4 linked regions of the Caenorhabditis elegans genome follow. The protein of the gene in region 4 interacts with the protein of the main gene of each other region in a biochemical or structural test. Each region holds a gene or a part of one and is shown on either strand. Other genes may lie near its edges.

Region 1 (5,226 bases), on a different chromosome or scaffold from region 4:
AACTAGTAAGCTCAAAGTCAGAAAATGCTCTGAAAATTAGTATTGCACTCCCTAATAGTCTTGCATTCCCTATTAGTATTGCAAGCGGGAAGACCATCGAAAAATAGTATTGCAGCCATATTAATAGAAGAAATACGGTATTTGTTATGTTCGAATGCAGATGTCTCATAACGATTTACAACTCTAATATGCGTAAATGTATGATAAGATCAGTTGAAATTGTATAAGAATGCATGCAGTGCCACCTGTTAATTTTATGATCCACCAATCATTCGGCACCGTCGATTCAGACATCACTTTTCTCATCAAGCCGCAGAAAGAGATATACGTGTAATTAATTGAGTTAATTTCTTGCAACAATCTAGTTCAAACATTTACCGGGAACAAGGAAAAACAGGTTGAATAAATAATAAATGACAGTCAAGGTTTTAGGGATTTTACAACAAGATTGTTAGAATAAATAATGTGCGTAAAACGTGTAAGTATACAAGAAGTGTATACTTAAAAAACAAATTAAACATTCAATAGTTGGAGTTTAGAAACCTCCGCGTCCACCACGACCCCCGTAACCACCACGTCCACGATCTCCGCCGTATCCACCTCGTCCTCCGCGGTCTCCCCCGCCGTATCCACCTCTACCTCCACGATCTCCGCCGTATCCACCTCTGCCTCCACGGTCTCCACCGCCATATCCTCCGCGACCACCTCCTCCTCCATAAGCTGAACTGGTGGGAGCAAATTGACCGAATCCTTTTGCAACTTTGGCTTCCCCAAATCCACTGACTTTGTATTGATTAGTCGGGGCAGGAAGAGGCATTGGAGTAGCGTCGCCTGACCCCCATGCAGTTTCAGCACGAGCTTGTGGTTGTGGTGTAGAATCTTTGTCAGCAACTGTGGTTTCCTCTTCATCTATCTGCTGCATGCCCTGAAAGAAATATTTTTATAATTCTGAAACGATGAACGCGATACCGGTGGCAGAGCTACTGATTTCGTTGGAGAATCCCAGCCATCGGTGGAAAAACTTGGCGCTACTTCTGGCGAAGCACTTGAAGAAGTATCTTGATTGGCATCCGAAGCCATCTCGATCTCGTTAACTGTTTGCTGTTGTTGTGCATCGTTAACCTTTTCTGGGACAGGATCGACCGCTTTTACAGTAACACCTTCTCCAATGTTTCTTGATGAGCTTAGCAAAGTCGAAGAATCCACTTCGTCACAAGAAATCTCCTGAAGACTGAGTGAATCCTTTGAATCGACAAGTAACCCGGAAGAATTGGTATCACTGAGACCGTTGAGAACTTGAGCTTTAGTATTTACGCTGTATGTGTTGTGAACCGTCGTCATTTCCTCTTTCGTGTAGGCGGAATCCTGCTGTTGGGAAGTGGATGGTTGCACATTGCTCTTTCTGCCACTTGGTGTATCGGACAAACAACACTTCTCCAGTGATTCAACAATTCGAGTGACATGAGTCTTCGAGTTGATTCCTTGAACAAATTCTGAAATTAAAAAGTTAACAGGAGATAAAAAAAGGAATATTCACTCTTGAAGCTATCGACGAGAAGATTTTTTGAAGTGGAATCCAAGAAACGAAGCTCGCCCAGCGCTTCAGTCTCATTCTCGGATCCGTAAAACTCTGTAAGCCACAGTGCAAACTGTAGAGCTTTATTCACATTATCGATCACCGCATCATTGTTTAGTGGACTCTGAGGAATCTGAAAAACGGTCATGTAAGTAATGTTTATAGAATCATTAACTCACCAGTGGAACGGGCTTATCGAAGCATTGCTCTAGAATTGAGACTTGGAACTTCTTGATAAGTTCCGCAATGGCTCGTCTTTTCCAGGCGCTCTCCAAGTCTTTCGCGACTCCAACAACATCCCAATCCTCAAAAGACTTCTTAGCTGAAATATTTAGATTTTAAAAGTAAACAAAGACGAAAATACTAACATCCTAAAAGAACTTGGATGATGTGATTGCCGAGGAACACCGCACTCTTGTAGACACTTCTTTGCAATCCTGGAAAGACTTCCGCTCTGACACTCGTAGGAATCCCAGAGAGGATTTTCTTGGAAACCTCGCGCTTTCCATCTGCAAGTGAACGAACGATAAGGAAAAAGAGCTGATATCCGAGTTGAGATCTCAAGACAAGTGACTCGTCTCCTTCATTTTTACTCGCTTCCTCGAAAAGTTGAGCGATATGGTTCACAACTTTCCCAACAGACTCTTCGAGTGGATCCATGAGGAGACTAATGAATGGATCGGCAGGTTCAGATTTCGGACCATCCAACCTAAATTGAAAAAAAAAATCGAATTATTTTGAAAAGGACAACAATTACATCAACTGTTTCAACAACGGCTTGCAGCTATCAAATGCGTTGACGACGTTATCACGGATAATGTCGACCTCGTCGCTAGTCTCCTCAGAGATAAGTCCGAGGATTTTAGTTAGGACATAAACATCAAAGTCCAGATCCAGTTGGCTGACAAGTTCCGTGAGCTCAACAAACTTTTCGGCGGCATCATCGATTGCGATTACTTTGAGAAGAGCTTGAAGAATCTTAGCGTCTTCAGTCTTCTTCAGCTTGGCCTTACGGGCGAGCATTCCGAGCTTCTTGTCGTCATCGATGACAGAAACCAGATCATGAGCATGTCCCAATCCTGACAATTTCTCAGCAGCAGCATCAAATTTCGGACGCTAAAACGTTATAATTGATTACAATAAGTTTAATTCACACTTACAAATTTATCTCCGAGAAGAAGACAAACGTCCATGCCAGCAGCAATAACGGCAGCGTTAGCGTCGTTCGGCAAGATCATCTCCAAAATGTCTTCGTCTCCAGGAGCGTCTTTGGAAGCTCCCAACACGAAAGCAGCCAACTTATTGGCCTGAAATTGAATAATAGAAAATCGGTCTTTAAATATTATAGTCCAACCTGAGATGTATTGTTGAACAGTTCTTCGTCATTCTTCGTGATGTAGTGGGCCAAATTTGGGAAAAAGTAGGATCTCAGCCCACCGAAATCCACAATTTCTCGCTTGTTAGCCTCCATGTGAAATGGATGAAACTGAAATAAATATTTAAATTTTTAAAAAATTTTTCGAGATTAGAATTCAAAAAAACGCAAAATTTACCCAAAAAAGTAAGAAAACGGAAAAGAAAATTGGGACGAGATCGAAATTGCAACTTCCGCGTTCGCGTCGAGTTGTTCGTTTCGAGACCCGTAGATCTGAAACTTCCATGCGCCTTTAATAATTTCTAAGTTTCTGAACTATTTCCAGATTTATTTTACCTATTTTCTAGTTTTTTTTTTCAAATCAAAATATGTTTAATCAATGCGGGGTTTTATAATTAAATAATATGTTTAACTTGTTATAGATTTTATAGATATTATTTTTTAAACATTTTAATTTGTTTCACGATGATATTTCAGTAATTGTAGGTTTGCGATGGCGACGAAAGAGCAGATTGTTGAGCACCGCGAGTCTGAAATTCCTATAGCCAGCCAGTGGAAGGCCACGTTTCCCGTTGATCTAGAGATTGAAAAAAATTCTGAAATGTTTGCGCTTCGCTACATAAAATGTGCTTCGGCCTTCATTCTCGATCGCCGTGGCATTTTGGACGAAAAATGCTTCAAAACTCGAACAATAGGTATGGCTTATTTTACAATGTATCACAAATATTTTTATACAGATAAACTGTTGGTCACCGCATTCCAGAGCAGTGTTCCTGCCGCAAAGCGTGTGTCTTCAACATTCGACGGATTGAGAGATGCGATTCAACAAGGCTATTTGCGAGAGTTCGCAATCGTGTTCTACAAGAAGCCAAACGAGGAAGACATTAATGAAGTGTTTGCGTTCAGGTTTGCTTATGGAGATGAAGGAGAGATTTTCGTATCTCTAAATAAGTAAGCTGCTGGTCTTATTCAATTATTCGTTTTCAATTGTTTTCAGCGGAATCGACACGAACGAAAGCAGTCAAGAACTGTTACAGGCGAAATTCGTTGATACCGACAACACGAAACAAATGTTTGCAAGCACAATCAAGAAACTTCACCGGTGTATCAAGAAAATGGAGCCGCTTCCTCAAGGGTCCGACGCGAGTTTCCGTGTTTCGTACACTGAAAGTAGGTTACATTCACAGCTTTAGTCTATTTCTAACTGTTATTTTAAGAAGCTCCAAAAGACTATACACCCGAAGGCTATCTGCTGAGTCCTATGTTCTATACGCTGAATCAGGATATTAGGAAAGCATCTATTGGAATCGTGTGTGGCGGTCATCACAAAATTCAAATGCTTGCTGCTTCACAATACTTGAAGCAAGACTTCGATCTGGATAAAACGACCACACTCAATCCAAATATGTCAATCATGGCAAACCAATCGAAAAGGAAGGGACGAATTTCCAGAGATTCCCCTTACGGTCTCAGTCAGGGCATTACGAAGAAGAATAAGGACTAGTCGAAAAGTTTTCACTCATGTGCAATGTTTCTCTTGTTTTATATTTTTAGCCATTGTTTTTATAATTTCATTGATTGTCGTGCTTTTGTCTTCTCTTGTGTGATATCAATCTATCTTCTTCACGTATAGTTTCATCTGTTTGATTGAGTTATTTTTCTTTCACTGTAAGTCTGGTGTTTCGTAGATTTAGAAAAAAGTAGCGTAATAAATTATTTTGAAATGGACCAAACATTCAAATCCAGTTCAGATAAATTTATTTCATTGAAGCAGTGTTGGAATTCGGACAAATGAGAAGTGAATATTCATTTGAAATAAGTTTTACATTACTTGCACTGTTGGCTGGGTGTTAAAAATAGGTTCAATATTGAATTAATAAAATGGGACAATTCACCGTGCAGAAAAAAACGAAGGAAAAGGCTTAAAATTGAAGAAGAAGTATAAAAGAATCACATGGGCTTTTCAGGAATTCAGTAAATGTTTGGACAAGTATATCAAGATACTGTACATCTGGAACTTTTCTTTTTCTTTGCCATTCGAACACCGCCTCCCGACATCATCATTGGTTCATTTTTCTTTGATTTACGACTGGAAGACTTTGCAGGAACCTGAATTTTTTATGATTGAATGTTTGGAAAATCTCAAATTGATAGTGTGGAATAAATTAAAAACTTACTCTACTCAACGAGGCGGCTGCCATAATATTTGAAATGTAAAGCTGTTCATCATCTGAATCCGACGAAGATGATGTACTATATCCATCCATTTCGGGAT
Region 2 (5,944 bases), on a different chromosome or scaffold from region 4:
ACACACACACAATGTGCTCTTAAGAATGAAGAGTAGACAGCAAGTGTGTATAAACATGCCATAGTGTATTGAAAGAACCTATAGTGCATTTGTGCTTTATGGTGGGCATGAAGTGATGTCATCTGATCCCTTGTTGGGTCAATCGTTCTCACAAAAAAAAGCTGTGGAACACATTCGTAAACAGAACGTCGATGCCCCCCGTTTCTGAATCATCAGTGACATTTTACTTCATTTCTAAACATAACATTTCCTTTTTTTTGCCTTCCGTCATTGTTTCTCATATTTTTCTATACGACGATTACTCATCAAAAGAGGACACGCTTCATGTTTTGTAACGAAATGGAAAACTATTTTTTTGTTCTTATTCGGGAAAAGTTGGATGTGAAACATTGGGAGAACACCGCGCACGGTTGAGGGGGGGGGGGGGGGGGGAAGAGGAAACCAATTTGACCACTATGTTTTGAAAAAAAAAGAATCTCAATGAGTTTTCTGGGTGATACTAATTAAATTGCGAACCCATTTAATCAGGTCCCTCTTTCTCGGCACTTTGTTCGTTTTCTTCGCAACCAATAAAACTGGACCCCGAGAGGTAACATGTTGTTGATGGTTCCTGATGATGCTCCGCTCTTCCCGCTTCTCATCTCCCCCGCATTGTGCAGTTGAAAGCAAAACTTGCAGTGTAACACCGAGAAAGCAGGGCAGCTAATTCAATGGAAACAATTCAAACTTTTTGGAGAAAAAAAATCTAAACCCTCTCGCTCAAAGATTATATTCCGGCGGAATACAGAAAAAAAAAACAAATTGTTGAATCATATAAATTCAAAAATCGAACATGTGACAATATCCAAGAATAGAAATTGATGACTAATACAATTTTCAGAAATTTTGCTTTGTTGTGATTTGAAACAAAATCATTTTCAGATATACTTTGAAGTACAAAAAGTGTTGAAAACATGAGGAATTTTCCTTTAACACTGGCACGTCATGCTCCACTTTGACAAAATACGTGTCAAATTTTTTTCTACATTTGAACATTGAATCATTTCTTAATAAAACTAGAGACCATCGATATATTGGAAAATACGGTTCCTTCATTACCAACTTACAGTTAAAAAACCTCGCTTTTCCTGATATTGATGACAAAAAGATTAATTCTAGATTCGAATATATCACTAAGTATGGCAAGAAAAGAGTTCTGAGAACATCTTTAGTCTGCAGTGCCACGACGTCTGCAATTGTTTTGCAACATTAAAATCTTACGGTTCCTTATCAAATTATCCCTTAAAAACCGAACGGCCGTTCGCTTTTCACTGACCAATTTCATAATTACAAAACATTTTTAGGCGTTTTTCTCACGTTGCGCTCTGCCGAACGCCTCATCTTCGAGGCGGGAAGGCGCGACGCGGTCCCCCAATTCAAATTTTCCAGGACACCACCACCACACTGTTTTTCCCTCCGTGTCCCGCCCTTCCGAGGACCGTCTGTCGGATGGCCGCTCTCCAGTATTCCCTCAATCCCTCATTCGGTTGGGCGGGGCCAGCCGACCAATGGCAAAGAGCGGCGCGGACGCGTCGCGTGCAGCAGTATAAATAGGCCACGAGAGGCAGAGTTGTGCACTGGTTTTTCACTAGGCACCCGCTTTCAGTTCCCAAAAAAATGTGTGACGACGAGGTTGCCGCTCTTGTGGTGGACAATGGATCCGGAATGTGCAAGGTGAGTTGATAACATTTGAATAATTCTAATTAGGGACAAAGGTTTAAAACAATATTATGCAATCTTAACTGCTCTAGAAACATTTGAATATAAGATTTAGAAATTTTGGAAAATTTTATTTTGTTAGTTTTAACTGCGCTTATTCCAACTCCATGTCTCAAATTTACTTTTCATTTGGGTTTAAAATTTCCAACAACCTAGGAATAATTCCATTGCATTGTATAAAAAGTTGTTTCCCTGCCGCATAAGGATTTTGAATTTCTATTCCTTCTCAACGTTTCGATTTGCATTGTTTCGCAAATAATTATGGCAACAGTTGTAGTAGTAGTGGGTGGTGATTCATATCGTCCGTCAACACCTGCGCGCGGTCACTCGCTCCCTCCCATTTTCAAATCTGGCGCCACGCGCCCCTTTTTCATCCCACTGGGAGAATATGTAAGGGGGGGGAAGAAAAAAGGAATCGTCGCAAGGATATGTTTTTAGTGTATGTAGAGTATTGTTGGAGAGGGGCCAACCCGACCCCGACCCGATGCGCATTTGCAATGGTGTGTGAGGAGAGGCCGTCCGTTGAGGGAACGTCCGCGACGTTTCCTTCGTACAATGGGATATATCACGACCAGCCAACAGTAGTGTAATGCACATTCCGAGAGGGCAGTGGCAATAGTTGAATAGAGATTTCGCCAGTAGATTAGCAACCCCATAAGATAGAAAGAGAGGCAAACCATTCAACAAGAACAGCGATTTTTTTCGTCGTCAAAAGCCAGTAGTTTTTTGTCTATCCACGACGGGTATCTTTATTTGCAACCACCTCACTTTGCAATCCTCATTAAGTATAATTTGGGAACGAAGAAGCGCAACGCGAACATCAATTATCCGCACCACCCTCAATAGTGCTACTTGGCTAATTTGTGGCCCTAGGAAACAAGATGTGTGTGAGTGTCTGAGAGTGTGAGATTCCGATGGTATTGGCGAACCCTTCCCGGATTTATTTATATATATGTGTCAGAAAAGAGGCTGCCGCTAATCGCTAATCTTGACAGTGTGTTGGTCAAGTGTGCCCTTGTATCCTCCTCGCATCACTGTATGCAGGGCGGCGGTTTCCCTCCATTCGGCCTCTCTTGTTGAATGACTACCACCACGCCAACAGCCGAACGGATGGGAGACGGATAGGACACAAGAAGGGACGGACGGACTGTCAAGGCCAAGAAATGCCACCTTTTGTCAATCCTCACTATATTGATTGATAGAAATGAATATGCGCAATCTAGACATGAGAGTCCGATTGAGGCCAAGTAGTAGGAGGCGAAAAGTGCGATTAGGATGAACGGGGAGAGAGTAAGTGACCGGGATAGGATTGTACAAATGCAATGGTCATCAGGGACTTTCATCATCAAAATGTCCCCCTTCCCATTCTAATTCAATTTTCCACAATTTCCATTTGAAATCAAAAAACTGACACGCTCACATCTGGTGCTCTTGGTGTGTAGACGATGACTCAATGCATTTCGAAATCTGTCTTAGTGCCCGAATGCCCCGCTTCTCAGTGCTGCTGATGGCCTCCCATTCGCCCCGTTTCCTATCTCATTATTCAACAGCGCAATTGGATTGCGAAATGGATCTGAGTGGGTAAAAAAAAACGGGGCCAGTGGCAGCAGCAGGCCCCTGCGACCAACACGGGGGTAAGCGAGCGCTGGGCACACTCTCTCACACACACACACACACACACACACACACACACACAAACACAGAGAGACATACACACATCTGTTGAGCGTTGTCGCCGCTCACCACACACCAAAGCGTTCTCGGAAAAAGTACTTCATTCGATATCAACCGTGAACTAGAGGAGTAGAGCGAGAGAGGGCATTTTGAGAATAGGGGAATGGGCCTTTTGTGTTTGCACTGCTCTCGCTCGTGCGCGGACTCACTGCGCTCTGCCAAATCTCGACCGAATTCTCGCCGCAACCTTCTCTCTTTGCAATGTAAATATAATGGACATTCTTGAAAGACCTAACGAGAGTATTCATTTCTTATCTAGGGGTCATCATGGGATATATTGAAACAAAAATTGATAATTTCAGGCCGGATTCGCCGGAGACGATGCTCCACGCGCTGTCTTCCCATCCATCGTTGGACGCCCAAGACATCAAGGTGTGATGGTCGGTATGGGACAGAAGGACTCCTACGTCGGAGACGAAGCCCAGTCCAAGAGAGGTATCCTTACCCTCAAGTACCCAATTGAGCACGGAATCGTCACCAACTGGGACGATATGGAGAAGATCTGGCATCACACCTTCTACAACGAGCTCCGTGTTGCCCCAGAAGAGCATCCAGTCCTCCTCACTGAGGCTCCACTCAATCCAAAGGCCAACAGAGAAAAGATGACCCAAATCATGTTCGAGACCTTCAACACCCCAGCCATGTACGTCGCCATCCAGGCCGTGCTCTCCCTCTACGCTTCCGGACGTACCACCGGAGTCGTCCTCGACTCTGGAGATGGTGTCACCCACACCGTCCCAATCTACGAAGGATATGCCCTCCCACACGCCATCCTCCGTCTCGATCTTGCCGGACGTGATCTTACTGACTACCTCATGAAGATCCTCACTGAGCGCGGTTACTCCTTCACCACCACCGCTGAACGCGAGATTGTCCGTGACATCAAGGAGAAGCTCTGCTATGTCGCCCTCGACTTCGAGCAAGAAATGGCCACCGCTGCCTCCTCATCTTCCCTCGAGAAGTCCTACGAACTTCCTGACGGACAGGTCATCACCGTTGGAAACGAGCGTTTCCGTTGCCCAGAGGCTCTCTTCCAGGTAAGAAAATATTTGCACCTCTAGCTAAACATAAAATTAATTCCTATTCATTTCAGCCATCCTTCTTGGGTATGGAGTCTGCCGGAATCCACGAGACTTCTTACAACTCCATCATGAAGTGCGACATTGATATCCGTAAGGACTTGTACGCCAACACCGTCCTTTCCGGAGGAACCACCATGTACCCAGGAATCGCCGATCGTATGCAGAAGGAAATCACCGCTCTTGCCCCATCGTAAGTTTAACTTAAATGGATTTCAAGAACTAATATTTACTTTCTATTTTTTCAGCACCATGAAGATCAAGATCATCGCCCCACCAGAGCGCAAGTACTCCGTCTGGATCGGAGGATCCATCCTCGCCTCCCTCTCCACCTTCCAACAGATGTGGATCTCCAAGCAAGAGTACGACGAGTCCGGCCCATCGATTGTCCACCGCAAGTGCTTCTAAATTTTTTGCCCCTTCCACCCACAACGCTCAAAAGAAGTTCGTATTATCCCGCAACCCATCCAGACCATCCTTTTACATTTTTTTTATTTTCTCTTTTTTTTTTCTTCACCCTCTCCGTGTACATTGCTAGTAATAGTTCCAACTTCTCTAGCCGACTGCATTATGCTTCCCATTCTCACCCAAATCTTCATTGGTAACTTCTCTTGTATTTGTTCAATACTATTCCGGTAGTAATCTAGGCATGTATAACTAGGTTCTCTGTGTATCTTTGGTTTGAAGTTGAGGTTTAATGCAATCACTTTTGTTGTTGTACCCTATTACTGCCGATGACCCCCATTTTCTCATTACAAAATTGACATTTTAAACCATTTTTTCTCTGAATCATGCTCATTATTTGAGCCACATTCATAATAAAGCTTTTAATAAGACAAATTGATCAAGTTTATCTAATGTAAAAAATACAAATAAAGAAAATTCAACCCGGAGGAGAGATGAAGTGAGTAGCTGTTACGGAACACAGATTATTTGCCTTGTTTGTTTCCGAAGATGTCTCCGACGCGGTCCAAAATTGAGCCAATACTGAGCGGATCATCTGGATTTGTGCAACGGACTCCTAGTAGTTGATCCTGTAATTTAGAAGGTGAGTTTTTTTAAACTAAAACAACAAATCTTAGAAAAATATGTTGTTTTTTGAGTTTAAAATAAGAATTGAACACAAAATGTACAACAAAAATTAAAAAAATTCATGGAATTCTTGATCCGCTTTTATGATTAGTGTCTCATTTTGTTTTACTCAAGTATGTTATTAAAAATATATCATACAATGTTTGAAAAAATATTTTTAACGGAAAAAAACAGGATATGGACGCAGCCTATTATTCATTTTCTACAAGTCGAAACATTGCCACATGAATATAGCATTTTTATAAAATAAATAAGGTATCTAATTAAAGTGAATCACAAAT
Region 3 (7,898 bases), on a different chromosome or scaffold from region 4:
AATGAATTTTTACAGAGAAAATGCTAGATTTCCGGTGAAAATCGGCAAATTTTGTGCAATTTTCGTTGGGTTTTAGCGTAAATGTACTATATTAAAGGTATTTCCCCAATAATTTAGAGCGAAAAGCGCGTGATATTCAGTTTTTGGGGGAAAAATCGTATTTTAATACAATTTTTCCTGATTTTTCTGAAAAAATCTTGGATTTCGGCTGAAAAAACACAATTTTTGTGCAATTTTCGTTGATTTCAATGACTTTTCAGTAATATAACGCTACTTTTACACTGAAATGTTAAAAAAAATCCCGATTTTCGTCCAAATTGTGTGAAATTTCAACGGAAATTCAGATTTTCACATTAAAAATTCGCCAATTAATCCATATTTTCGCTCGAAATTCGTCGCATTTTGTACCTTGGTGCCTCCGTATTCTGGGAGAAGGACACGATCTCCTGGCTTCACAGTCAATGCGACGAGCTCTCCCTTCTCGTTGCGAAGTCCGGCTCCGGCAGAGACGACGGTGGCTTCAAGGACCTGAAATATTCGAAAATTAGGTGGAAATTGCTTTAATTTGAGTGAAAATTCGGTAATTTCGGATAAAAATTGGACAAAAACCTCCGCGAGCAGTCGGAGAGCGTGTTGGCAGGGAAAATCGATAATTGCATCATTACACCAGACTTTACGGAATTTTCGGTGAAAATTAACATTTTTCGTATAAAATTGAAGGTTTTTAGCTAGAAACTGTGTTTTAGACGCCAAGTTGCACCATTTTGACGGTGAAATTGGCATTTTTGTGCTAGAAATCTGCTCCAAGACGTTGAAATTTATCAGTTTTCACCTGAAAAATCAATTTTTAGGCCAAAAATTGCTCACTTTTCCCTGTGACTTCTCCGGGAGCATGATTCCTCCCTTTGTCTTGGTCTCGGCGGCGACTCTCTCGACGAGCACACGATCATAGAGTGGCTTGAAGGTCTTGAGGACATTGCTCTGCAAAAAAATACGCGTTTAATTCGGAGAAAACACCGGGAAAATAGCTTACCGATCGGCGGACAGCGGTGAGGAACATTTTTCGGCTGAAAAATTGGTTTTTTGAGTTTTAAAATTTATTTTTAGCGGGAAATTACATGAAAACAACGAAAAAACCCGAAGAAACCCGCGAAAATTCAGAAAATGATCAAAAAACCAAAAGAAGCTTCGAGAAAAAAAGCAGAAAATAAATGTGCGGCGCGAAAAATCTCGTGCGGCAAACTTGCAAATCTAGGCGTGTCGGGCCAATGGCAGACACCGCGCCGCAAATTCAGCCAATCAGCGCGCTCAGCTCCACCTAGAAAAGTGTGCGCACCTTGCAAAACTGGGCGGAGCGAGTGAAATGATGCAAAAGTCTATTCTGATGTAAATTAGCCATTTTACATCAAAATTTGCGTCATTTTCGTTATTTTTCTCTCATTTTTCATATTTTGAACGAAAAATTGAGGTTTTTTGCTTCTATTTTCATCAGAAACCATTGAAAAATGCTTATTTTTGGGCCATTTTTCGTCGAAATTAGGGGAAAAAACTATTCTACAGTTTTCCCAGCTATTTTCTCATTTATTCCTGTATTTTTCAGTCATTACCTGCTTCCCAGACGATAATGCAAGGCTTCTCGCTTCATTTTCATAAAAAACGATTGAAAAATGCTTATTTATAGGCCATTTATCGTCTAAATTAGGGGAAATATCTGTTTTACCGTTTTCCCAGCCGATTTCTCATCCATTCTCGTTATTTTTCACTCCTTTTCTGCTTCTCAGACGATAATGCAAGGCTTCTCGCTTCATTTTCGATGAGAAACTCTGATTTTGCTCGCATTTTCGCCTTTCCGCTGCAGATTTTCACACAATTTTCGTAGTTTTTCAGACACAAAAGATGCTTCGCCTCGCCAGAAAGGGACTTCAGACCGCCGTCGTCAGATCTTACGCCAAGGACGTCAAGTTCGGAGCCGAAGGACGACAGGCCATGCTCGTCGGAGTCAACCTGCTCGCCGACGCCGTCTCTGTCACTATGGGCCCAAAAGTACGGGGATTTTGATGTGAAAATTGAGGAAAAAATGCTGTAAAAAAATCTATTTTAACGTATTTTTATACACAAAACTTCCGGTTTAATGCAAAATTTAATTTTTTTTTCTTCATAAATACAGCCTCTAAAACTCCAAACTCTTTCAGGGAAGAAACGTGATCATCGAGCAGTCGTGGGGAAGCCCAAAGATCACAAAGGACGGAGTCACCGTCGCGAAATCCATCGACCTCAAGGACAAATACCAGAACCTGGGAGCCAAGCTCATTCAAGATGTCGCCAACAAGGCTAATGAGGAGGCTGGAGACGGAACCACCTGCGCCACAGTTCTCGCCAGAGCCATCGCCAAAGAGGGATTCGAGAGCATTCGTCAAGGCGGAAACGCTGTCGAGATCCGTCGTGGAGTCATGAACGCCGTCGAAGTCGTCGTTGCAGAGCTCAAGAAGATCTCCAAGAAGGTTAATACCGGGAAATTGTGGATTTAAATTCAAAAGCCACAGTGATTTTTGGAAAAATTGGGATTTTTGACCCAATTTTGAAGCGATTTTCATTTGATGTTAGAGGAAAAACTAGAATTTCGCTCAAATCTGCTTGAAAATCGCGAATTTGTGGCTAAAATCAGTTGCCAGGAATTCAAAATCTTCAAAAAACCGTCATTTTTTCCCAATTCGGGCCATAAAGCTTATTTGTTCGACGGAAAAACCTTCATATTCCGGAAAACTGACAAAATTTCACTGATTTGCTCTGAAAATCTTGAAAAACCGTCATTTTTCCCCTACTCAGGACGAAAAGCTTATTGTTTGACGGAAAAACCCGAATATTCCCGAAAAATTACAAATTTTCACTGATTTGTCTCGAAAAACCTTGAAAATTCAAAAAGTTCGCCAAAATGTGGTGCTTTTTGGAACAATTGGCAGCTCTGATGCAATTTTTCATTCAATGTTGGCCTGAAAAGCTGAAAATATCGAATTTTTGGCCAAAATCAATAAAAACCCGCAATTTTCCCCAATTCAGGACGAAAGCACCTAATATCCCGGAAAATTTGCAAAATTTCGTGTTTTTTCAAACAGTTGTGAGCTCTGATCCAATTTTGAAGCGGTATTCATTCAATGTTGGCCTGAAAAGCTGAAAATATCGAATTTTTGGCCAAAATCCATAGAAACCCCGCAATTTTTACCCAATTCAGAACGAAAATCTTATTTTGTTTGACGGAAAAACCTTAAAAATCCGGAAAGCTGACAAAATTTCACTGATTTGCCCTGAAAAACCTTGAAAAGCCACTATTTTTTACCCAATTCAGGACGAAAAGCTTGTTGTTTGAATGAAAAAGCCCTAATATCCCGAAAAAATGGCCAAAAATTCACAGATTTGTAGGGAAATCGCGACTATTTCTGACTATATTTGCTCGATATACCTGAATTTTTACTTGTTTTAAACCAAAAATCGCGCCTAGAAACCTAAAAAATCAGAAAAAAAACTAAATTTAGCAATAATTTAACTAAAAAAAACTTGTTCCTGCAGGTCACCACCCCCGAAGAGATCGCTCAAGTCGCCACAATTTCCGCCAATGGAGACACCGTCGTCGGAAATCTCATCAGTGACGCCATGAAGAAGGTCGGAACCACTGGAGTCATCACTGTTAAGGACGGAAAAACGCTGAACGATGAGCTCGAGCTTATCGAGGGAATGAAGTTCGACAGAGGATACATCTCGCCGTACTTTATCACCTCTGCGAAAGGAGCTAAAGTCGAGTACGAGAAGGCTCTTGTCTTGTTGAGCGAGAAGAAGATCAGCCAAGTTCAGGATATTGTGCCGGCTCTTGAGCTCGCCAACAAGCTCCGCCGTCCATTGGTTATCATTGCCGAGGATGTTGATGGAGAGGCTCTTACCACTCTTGTTCTTAATAGACTTAAGGTACAGACGACAAGAAGCGAAAAACTGCAAATTTTGTCGAAAACCAGCGTTGAAACTCCATTTTTTGACGGAAATTCGCGTTATTTCGATTATTGCCCCCAAATACGGAGAAAAATGCGAAATTTGCTGAAACCCGACGTTTTCTTGATTAGTTTACCCCCAAATACGAAAAAAAAGTACAAAATTCGAAATTTTCAGCCAGGAATTTGGATTTCTCTTGAAATTTTGAATTTTTCAGCCAGGAATTTGGATTTTCCCTGAAATTTTGAATTTTTCAGCCAAAAATTTGGATTTTTCTTGAAAACTTCAATTTTTCAGCCAAGAATTTGGATTTCTCCTGAAATGTTGAATTTTCCACCCAAAAATTTTGATTCTTCTTGAAATTCGAACTTTCCAGCCAAAATTTTTCGCAATTTCGACTGAAAAATTCGTTTAAAAGCCGAAAATTACTGTTTTTCGGATCAGTTTCAGCTTGATTTTACAAACTTTTGGAAACTACAGATTTCTGCCGGAAATTACTTATTTTGGCATTAAAAACTTTTAATATCCCGATTTTTGGTTCGAAAAAATGTGTTTTTTTGCCAATTTCGACTGAAAAATGGCTAAAAATGCTGCAAAAATTTTGTATTCGTCCAAAAAATCCCCGGAAATTCACGTTTTTAGCCTAGAAAACTTGAATTTTTATCAGAAAATTCAAGTTCAAAGAACCGCGAGCATTTTTTGATCAGTGATGTTTGTTAGCAGCAGGAGGCTACTCGCAACAAAATACGAGCGACCTTGATTAGAGAATGATAATATATCTTCTTTTTCTTATCAGTTGAGAGAGTTTTACAAATTTTACGGCAAGAAAATAGAAAAAAAGCAGAAGAAACTAGGGATTCAGCAAGAAAATCGCCAGGAAATTTCATAATTTCCTGGATTTTCTCCAAAAACATGAAGATTTCACCTGAAAATCGCGCTAAATTAAAGTTAATTAATGTGTTTTACACTGAAAAACCTTTAAAACCGCAGAATTTTCTTCCAGGTCGGATTTATTCAGTATTCTACATAATTTTCCATTTTTATCAGTGAAAAAGTGCGCATTGACTTCTGAGAAAGTCTATTTTTGCTATTTTTGCTAAAAAATACATATTTTCACTGAAAAACCTCTAAACTCCATCATTTTCCACGATTTTAAGTTTAAAAAAAAACTAATTTTTCACTAAAAACCCTGTAAAACCGCAGAATTTTCTCTTCCAGGTCGGACTTCAAGTCGTCGCAATCAAGGCTCCAGGATTCGGAGATAACCGCAAGAACACGCTCAAGGATATGGGAATTGCGACGGGAGCAACGATCTTTGGAGATGACTCGAATCTCATTAAGATCGAGGATATCACAGCCAACGATCTCGGAGAAGTCGATGAGGTCACCATCACCAAGGACGATACTCTTCTTCTTCGCGGGCGTGGAGATCAAACAGAGATCGAGAAGCGAATCGAGCACATCACCGATGAAATTGAGCAATCGACGAGCGATTACGAGAAGGAGAAGCTTAATGAGCGTCTCGCCAAGTTGAGCAAGGGAGTCGCTGTGCTCAAGATTGGAGGAGGATCTGAAGTTGAAGTTGGAGAGAAGAAGGTGTGCGGAATTTGGCTGAAATTGGAGAAAAATTGAAGAAAAACTGGCTATTTTCCGTGGGAAAATGATCAAAATCCGTTCATTTTTGAGCTTTTTTTAGCAGAAAATTGGTTTAAAAAAACCTCAATTTCTACCAGATTTTTGTCGAGAAACCTGATTTTAAAACCTTTTTTGTGCCGTTTGTGCCATTGGAAACTCGTTAAAACTCAGTTTTTTATTTTTATTTGCAACAAAACGCAAGATTCTCTTTGTGCTCCTTTCGAGTAAAATTTATGGTAAATTCCCCCATTTTTGTGAAAGAAACCCACTAAATCTGCAGATTTTTCTTGAAAATTTAAATTTTTATTTAAACAATCTGACTTTTTCTTACAAATTTGAATTTTTTTAGCCAAAAATCTGAATTTTTCAGCCAAAAATTTGAATTTTTCTTGAAAATTTGATTTTTTCAGCCAAAAATTTGGATTTTTCTTGAAAGTTAGAATTTTTTAGTCGATCATTTTCAGCTTGATTTTGCCGTGTAAACTACAGATTTCTGCCGGAAAACATTAAAATTTGCGATTTTAGCAATTTCCAGCCGATTTTTGGTTCGAAAAAATGGCTATTTTGCCAATTTGAATTTTTCAGACAAAATTTTGCATTTTCCTTAAAAATTTGATATTTTCAGCCAAAAAATTGGATTTTCCCTGAAAATTTGATATTTTCAGCCAAAAATATGGATGTTTCTTAAAATTCGAACTTTCTAGCCGAAATTTTTCGCAATTGCCACTTAAAATTTTGTTGTTAGAAGCCGAAAATAACTGTTTTTTTCGCAATTTCAACTGAAAAAATTGATAAAAAAACGCGGAAAAAACTGTTAAATTGATTTTTCCCGCTGAGCATGCTCAAAAATAGCAGAAATTTTGGTTTTCCTGCGCGGAAAAATCTTGATTTCCACCAGATTTTATCGGTTTTCTGCAATTTTTTGTATGATTTTTCATCAATTTTTTTTTCATTACAGGACCGTGTCACCGATGCTCTGTGTGCCACGCGTGCCGCTGTCGAAGAAGGAATCGTTCCAGGAGGAGGTGTTGCTCTTCTCAGATCTCTGACAGCACTCAAAAACTACAAAGCAGCCAACGAGGATCAACAGATCGGTGTGAATATCGTCAAGAAGGCTCTCACTCAGCCAATCGCCACAATCGTCAAAAATGCCGGTCTTGAGCCATCGTCGATTATTGATGAAGTCACCGGAAACAGCAATACATCATATGGTTATGATGCGCTCAACGGAAAGTTCGTTGACATGTTCGAGGCTGGAATTATCGATCCAACTAAGGTATATACAGCGTCAAAAATTTGAATTTTTCGTGAAAATTTGAATTTTTGAGACAAAAATTTTGGATTTACCTCCAAAATTTGAATTTTTAGCCAAAAAATTTGAATTTTTCGTGAAAATTTGAATTTTTGAGCCAAAAATTTGGATTTTCCTCCAAAATTTTAATGTTTTAGCCAAAAATTGCATTATTTCACTGAAAATTTTCATTTTTAAGCCAAAAATTAGGAATTTTCTTGAAAATTTGAAGTTTTCAGGCGGAAAATTTGGATTTTACGTGAAAATTTAAATTTTTCAGCCAAAAATTGGAGTTTTTCAGCAGAAATTATTTGAAAGTAGTTCAAAAATTGGTCAAAAAATGGAAAAAAATTGCTTCTGGCCGTCTTTTTTTTTTTTTTGGAAAAAAAAACCCTGAAAATTCAACATTTCAAGAAAAATCGAAAATTTTTATGCAAAAAAAAATCTCCCCAAAAACCGCAATTTTCCAAATTTCCAGGTGGTTCGCACAGCTCTCCAAGATGCTTCAGGAGTCGCCTCACTTCTCGCCACAACCGAATGCGTAGTCACCGAAATTCCAAAGGAAGAAGCAGTTGGTGGACCAGCCGGTGGAATGGGTGGAATGGGTGGAATGGGCGGTATGGGAGGAATGGGATTCTAAGCTCTCAATCTCTCATTGAAATAACGACACCGATGGATTGATTTTCTCTCTAAAACACTGGTTTTTGCTCAATTTTGTCGTTTTTCCCATCATTTTTTCCCCAAAAATTTCCCCAAAAAAATTATGATCTTTTGTGCTCTGAGCCATTTGTTTTTTTCTTGTTTTACGGCTCTTTTTCCCCTTTTTTTGATGATAACTTTTCAATGGTGTTTTTTTTTTTAATTTTTTCGCAATTTTAGGACCTCAATTTTTTTTAGTTTAGTGTTTTTCCCCTTGTTTTTAGAGTATAATATATAGAATCTCCTTGTTTTTTTTTTCCGTTTTTTTCTTTGTTTTCACTCTCCTCCCCACCCC
Region 4 (4,477 bases):
AGCCTGAAAATCGATGATTTTCTGACTTTTTCCCGAAAATTATTCGATTTTTCTTGATTTTCGCCGGCTTCTACCTCATCATCGAGTTCATCTTCGGGATCAACCTTCGAATTTTCATAAGGCGATTTTGTGCCCACTAGCTTCGTCCATTCCACCTTCCGAGCCAATTTTCCAACATGATCAGTGAACGTCTCGGGCTGCAGGTACCTCTCCACACCGTCAAATCCGATTTCCTGGATTTTCCAGTCATCATTGGATTCCAGCACGAGATCCACTCCTAGTCGTTTTGTGAGATTCACAATGTCTTCGGATTCCGGCTCGATAGGCTCCACCACTTCATCGCCGTCTTCCATTTTTTTTGTGCTAAACTTTTTTAAAAATAATTTTTCGGTTTTTCTTTTGGCGCTGCTCACTATTGATTGAATATTAAAAATATATCTAAAGGCTGCGTAACCTATAAATTATAAAATCGCTTAAAAATTGCAAAAAACTTGAATTTTGGCAGATTTTTTTTTATGGAAAAAGGTCAACAAATGGAGTACCGAGCAGAGTGAGCGTGCGCGCGGATAGAGGAGGTGCGCGACAACAACCCGCATCGAGGTATATACAATCGAGTATCTGCGGAAATCGGGAGGTTTCGGGGGGAACAACGGGGGATCAACAAAGTGTAAAAATTGGGGGCAAAAAAGTGTGAGAAAAAAGACGAAAAAAAAAACAGCAAAAATTAGTGCATGGTGTAGGTGTTCTGCTCGTTGAGATCACACACTTCTCCCTTGAAATCGAACGAAATGTTGATATCCAAGTCACGTTCGTTGTTCTTGTTTGGTGCCATCTCGAATGATCCGGTTATTTCCTCGCCTTTCTTTACTGTGAGCGCGTCCTGAAAAAATCGAAAAATTGAAAAAAAAAATAAAATTTGAATCGAAAGTGTCGAATTTGAAGTCAAAGATGATGTGAAAATTGCAATTTTTTTTCTTTTTTATTAAAACAAAACTGGGTTTTTCTAGCTAACGAAAATTAGTGAAAAATACAACTTTTTGCCTAAAAACCCCGGTTTCAGTCAGAAAATCCGGTTTTTACTCGAAAAATCGATAGAAAAGTGCAAAATTCGTGCAAAAATCTTTAAAAAAACACAAATTTAATACTTAAGACTACTACAAACTACTAGTTTTGGGCGCTGCTAAACTACAAAATTACAAGATTTGGGCGCTGCTAAACTACAAACTACAAGCTTTTGGGCGCTGCTAATTCGCTTTTGGGAGCTGCTAAACTACAAACTACTAGTTTTGGGCGCTGCTAAGCTACAAACTACGATTTTGGGCGCTGCTAGACTACAAACTACAAGATTTGGGCGCTGCTAATTTAATTTTGGGCGCTGCTAAGCTACAAACTACGATTGTGGGCGCTGCTAGACTACAAACTACGAGTTTTGGGCGCTTCTAAGCTACAAACTACAAGATTTGGGCGCTGCTAAACTACAAACTACGAGTTTTGCGCGCTGCTAAGCTACAAACTACGAGCTTTGGGCGCTGCTAAGCTACAAACTACAAGATTTGGGCGCTGCTAAGCTACAAACTACGATTGTGGGCGCTGCTAGACTACAAACTACGAGTTTTGGGCGCTGCTAAGCTACAAACTACAAGATTTGGGCGCTGCTAAACTACAAACTACGAGTTTTGGGCGCCGCTAAGCTACAAACTACGAGTTTTGGGGGCTGCTAATTCATGTTTTCTTAATTTTTTGGCGAATTTTGTTTCAAAAACTGTGAAAAGGTCGATTTTCAGCCCAAAAATCGAAGTTTTTACCATTTACTGACTAAATTTGGTGAAAAACTGTTGAAAAATGGTATTTAACCCGAAAAAAAGTTATTTTTAAGCGCATACTTTAAGATAAAAGACGGTCTGCTTCCAATGAGTGTACTGTACATCTGGCCCAGTCGAGAATCCGGTTTTCTTGTGGCACTTGGAGAACTCGACGGTGAAGAAGGTGACGAAAGCTTGAATATAGTCGCTGCGAGTGCATCTCAGCTTAAAGTCCGATTTGAACGTGAGATCCTCGATTTTAACGGTGTACAAATCAACGTCCTTCAGCAGACAATTGTTGGTGTTGACCTGAGCGTTGTCGACGATATCGACGAGTGGCTCCTTGATCGCGACGTTCTTGATAGCGGACATGTTGAATCCGTAGACTGAATCCCACCAGTGGATCTTGTCCTCCTTGTACTGACGATCCTCGATAGCACAGACGTAGAGACGAGCCTTGTCCGGGAACAACATTCCATTCGGAGCCAACCATCTATCGCGGGCGACGAGCACAGTGTTGAGCATCGACTCGTAGAACAAGCAGTATCCCATCCACTCGGAAATGATGATATCGACCTTCTCAATGCCTCCTGGCAACTCGTGAACGTCCTCTACCTTCGCCTGAATCACCTCGACGATGTGGTCCAGGTTGTTGTCGGCGATTATTTTGCGGGAGGTGAGCGCCATGTTGGAGAATTCCATCTGAAGGAAAAGGAAATTTTTAAAAACCGTTCAAAAAATCCAAAAAAAACTCACCGCGAAAACCTTCTTCGCTCCAGCCTTGGCGGCGAACATGGAAAGAATTCCAGTTCCCGAGCCAACATCCATCACAACTTTGTCTTTGAACAAGTGCGAGTTATGATAGATCGAGTTCCGGTAGGTGGTGGTTCGCACCTCGTCCTTGAGCATCTCCTCGTGGATACCGAAGTGAGCGTACGAGTCGAAGTAGTAGTCCTTGCTGGTCAACTCTTTTGCAGCCGGTGCCGCCACCGGCGCATCTGCGGACTTCCCGTTTTCGGTACTCATTGTCCCGCTGGAAAAAGGTTAATTATTAAATTAATTAATGTGAGATCCACATGCTCTGAAATCCACTTTTAGGGCCAAAATTCATGTATTTTCTTGTTCGAAAAGCTTTTTAATCAAAAAATAATTAATTTTCAGCAAAAAAAACCAAAAAATCAATTGAAAATCAACTGAAAATCATGAAATTCGAGTGAAAAAGACGAAAAAAAAAGGAAAACTCATTTCAAATCAACACCTAAAAATGCGGGCGTTGCGAGACCCAACACACACGAAACCGCATGCGCCTTTAAATTTGTGTCGATTTACGCAGTGGCTGACGTGTATTTTTCCATCGAAATTTTCTTCTTTTTTTGGGAGATTTCTGAATTTAAAATTGAATTTTAAGTTAAAATTTTAATTTTTCAGATAAAAAATCATGTCAGACGACTTGCCAATCGATATTCACAGCAGTAAATTGCTTGGTAACTCGTTATCCATTAATTTTAACCCAAAAAACACCGCAAAAACTTTAGATTGGCTGGTTTCCCGTCGTCATTGCAACAAAGATTGGCAAAAAAGCGTGGTGGCGATTCGAGAAAAGATCAAACATGCCATTTTGGACATGCCGGAGTCGCCGAAAATCGTGGAGCTGCTGCAAGGAGCGTGTTAGTTGGTTTTTTGCCCAAAAAAGACCAAAAAATTGTTAAAAAACTACAAAAAGGCTCGACTACCAAGTTTTTTTTGCAAAAAATCTGATTAAAAAAAATAGTTTTTCACCAAAAACAGTCAGAAAAACGAATAAAATCTCTCTTGTCCGCAGGAGGCTTAGGCTCACCCTTGAACCAAACGGACAACCTTTACCTTTACTTTTTAAATTTACGGAAAAATGCAAAAAATTCAATAACAGTCCCATTAACAGCTCGAAATCCGGATTAGCAGCGCCCAAATCTTGTAGTTTGTAGTTTTAGCAGCGCCCAAAATTGAATTAGCAGCGCCCAAATCTTGTAGTTTGTAGTTTTAGCAGCGCCCAAAATTGAATTAGCAGCGCCCAAAACTTGTAGTTTGTAGTCTTAGCAGCGCCCAAAATTGAATTAGCAGCGCCCAAATCTTGTAGTTTGTAGTTTTAGCAGCGCCCAAAATTGAATTAGCAGCGCCCAAAACTTGTAGTTTGTAATGTTAGCAGCGCCAAACCATTTTTTTGAGAAAAATCCAATTAAATTACAGTTTTTAGTCGTTTTTCGCCAAATTTAGCGAGAAAAATCATTAAAATAGAAAAAATAATAAATTTTTCTGTCAAAAAAGCCGTAATTATTCAATTTTTAATCTAAAAATTGCCAAAAATTCAGTTTTTCACCCAAAAAAGTCAGAAAAACATATAAAATTGTGATTTTTGCGGTGAAAACCGACTATAATTTAGTTTTCGTGCCGAAATTTACGAAAAAAATGCAGAAATTTCGATAAAATTCCCATTAACAGCTCGAAATCTGGATTAGCAGCGCCCAAAACTTGTAGTTTATAGTGTTAGCAGCGCCCAAAATTGAATTAGCAGCGCCAAACTTTTTTTCTGCAAAAACCTGATAAAATAACATTTTTTTGAATTATTTTTCGCCAAATTTAGTTAGGAAAATGCATTACAATGCTATTTTTGCCGTAAAAATCTTCAAAAAATCGAT

Evidence for each region.
Region 1: of the proteins of prmt-1 (region 4) and pgl-1, one has a biochemical effect on the other in vitro, tested with the Caenorhabditis elegans proteins (one study listed by BioGRID).
Region 2: of the proteins of prmt-1 (region 4) and act-4, one has a biochemical effect on the other in vitro, tested with the Caenorhabditis elegans proteins (one study listed by BioGRID).
Region 3: of the proteins of prmt-1 (region 4) and hsp-60, one has a biochemical effect on the other in vitro, tested with the Caenorhabditis elegans proteins (one study listed by BioGRID).

Annotation. Positions count from the first base shown.
Region 1 is NC_003282.8:6,974,082-6,979,307, forward strand, and holds pgl-1 (Guanyl-specific ribonuclease pgl-1), read right to left. Parts: upstream 3,238-5,226; coding exon 3,130-3,237; intron 3,063-3,129; coding exon 2,931-3,062; intron 2,884-2,930; coding exon 2,737-2,883; intron 2,693-2,736; coding exon 2,334-2,692; intron 2,286-2,333; coding exon 1,945-2,285; intron 1,899-1,944; coding exon 1,756-1,898; intron 1,710-1,755; coding exon 1,538-1,709; intron 1,494-1,537; coding exon 970-1,493; intron 926-969; coding exon 536-925; downstream 1-535. Other genes in the region: him-3 (HORMA domain-containing protein), read left to right, coding at 3,445-3,646, 3,689-3,902, 3,949-4,121, 4,169-4,455; prkl-1 (LIM zinc-binding domain-containing protein), read right to left, coding at 4,947-5,060, 5,129-5,226. UniProt on the Caenorhabditis elegans protein: Guanyl-specific endoribonuclease which cleaves the phosphodiester bond in single-stranded RNA between the 3'-guanylic residue and the 5'-OH residue of adjacent nucleotide, resulting in the formation of a corresponding 2',3'-cyclic phosphate intermediate.
Region 2 is NC_003284.9:4,959,006-4,964,949, forward strand, and holds act-4 (Actin-4), read left to right. Parts: upstream 1-1,615; 5' UTR 1,616-1,656; coding exon 1,657-1,713; intron 1,714-3,794; coding exon 3,795-4,529; intron 4,530-4,585; coding exon 4,586-4,764; intron 4,765-4,819; coding exon 4,820-4,979; 3' UTR 4,980-5,408; downstream 5,409-5,944. Other genes in the region: M03F4.6 (EB domain-containing protein), read right to left, coding at 5,501-5,605. UniProt on the Caenorhabditis elegans protein: Actins are highly conserved proteins that are involved in various types of cell motility and are ubiquitously expressed in all eukaryotic cells.
Region 3 is NC_003281.10:1,617,863-1,625,760, forward strand, and holds the start of hsp-60 (Chaperonin homolog Hsp-60, mitochondrial), read left to right. Parts: upstream 1-1,879; 5' UTR 1,880-1,896; coding exon 1,897-2,043; intron 2,044-2,192; coding exon 2,193-2,501; intron 2,502-3,564; coding exon 3,565-3,957; intron 3,958-5,196; coding exon 5,197-5,574; intron 5,575-6,571; coding exon 6,572-6,889; intron 6,890-7,382; coding exon 7,383-7,544; 3' UTR 7,545-7,898. Other genes in the region: Y22D7AL.10 (10 kDa heat shock protein, mitochondrial), read right to left, coding at 409-528, 868-981, 1,034-1,060. UniProt on the Caenorhabditis elegans protein: Implicated in mitochondrial protein import and macromolecular assembly. May facilitate the correct folding of imported proteins.
Region 4 is NC_003283.11:20,266,877-20,271,353, forward strand, and holds prmt-1 (Protein arginine N-methyltransferase 1), read right to left. Parts: upstream 2,836-4,477; 5' UTR 2,829-2,835; coding exon 2,559-2,828; intron 2,505-2,558; coding exon 1,884-2,504; intron 881-1,883; coding exon 725-880; 3' UTR 501-724; downstream 1-500. Other genes in the region: mdt-17 (Mediator of RNA polymerase II transcription subunit 17), read right to left, coding at 75-353; cdkr-3 (CDK5RAP3 protein homolog), read left to right, coding at 3,241-3,286, 3,338-3,469. UniProt on the Caenorhabditis elegans protein: Arginine methyltransferase that methylates (mono and asymmetric dimethylation) the guanidino nitrogens of arginyl residues present in target proteins.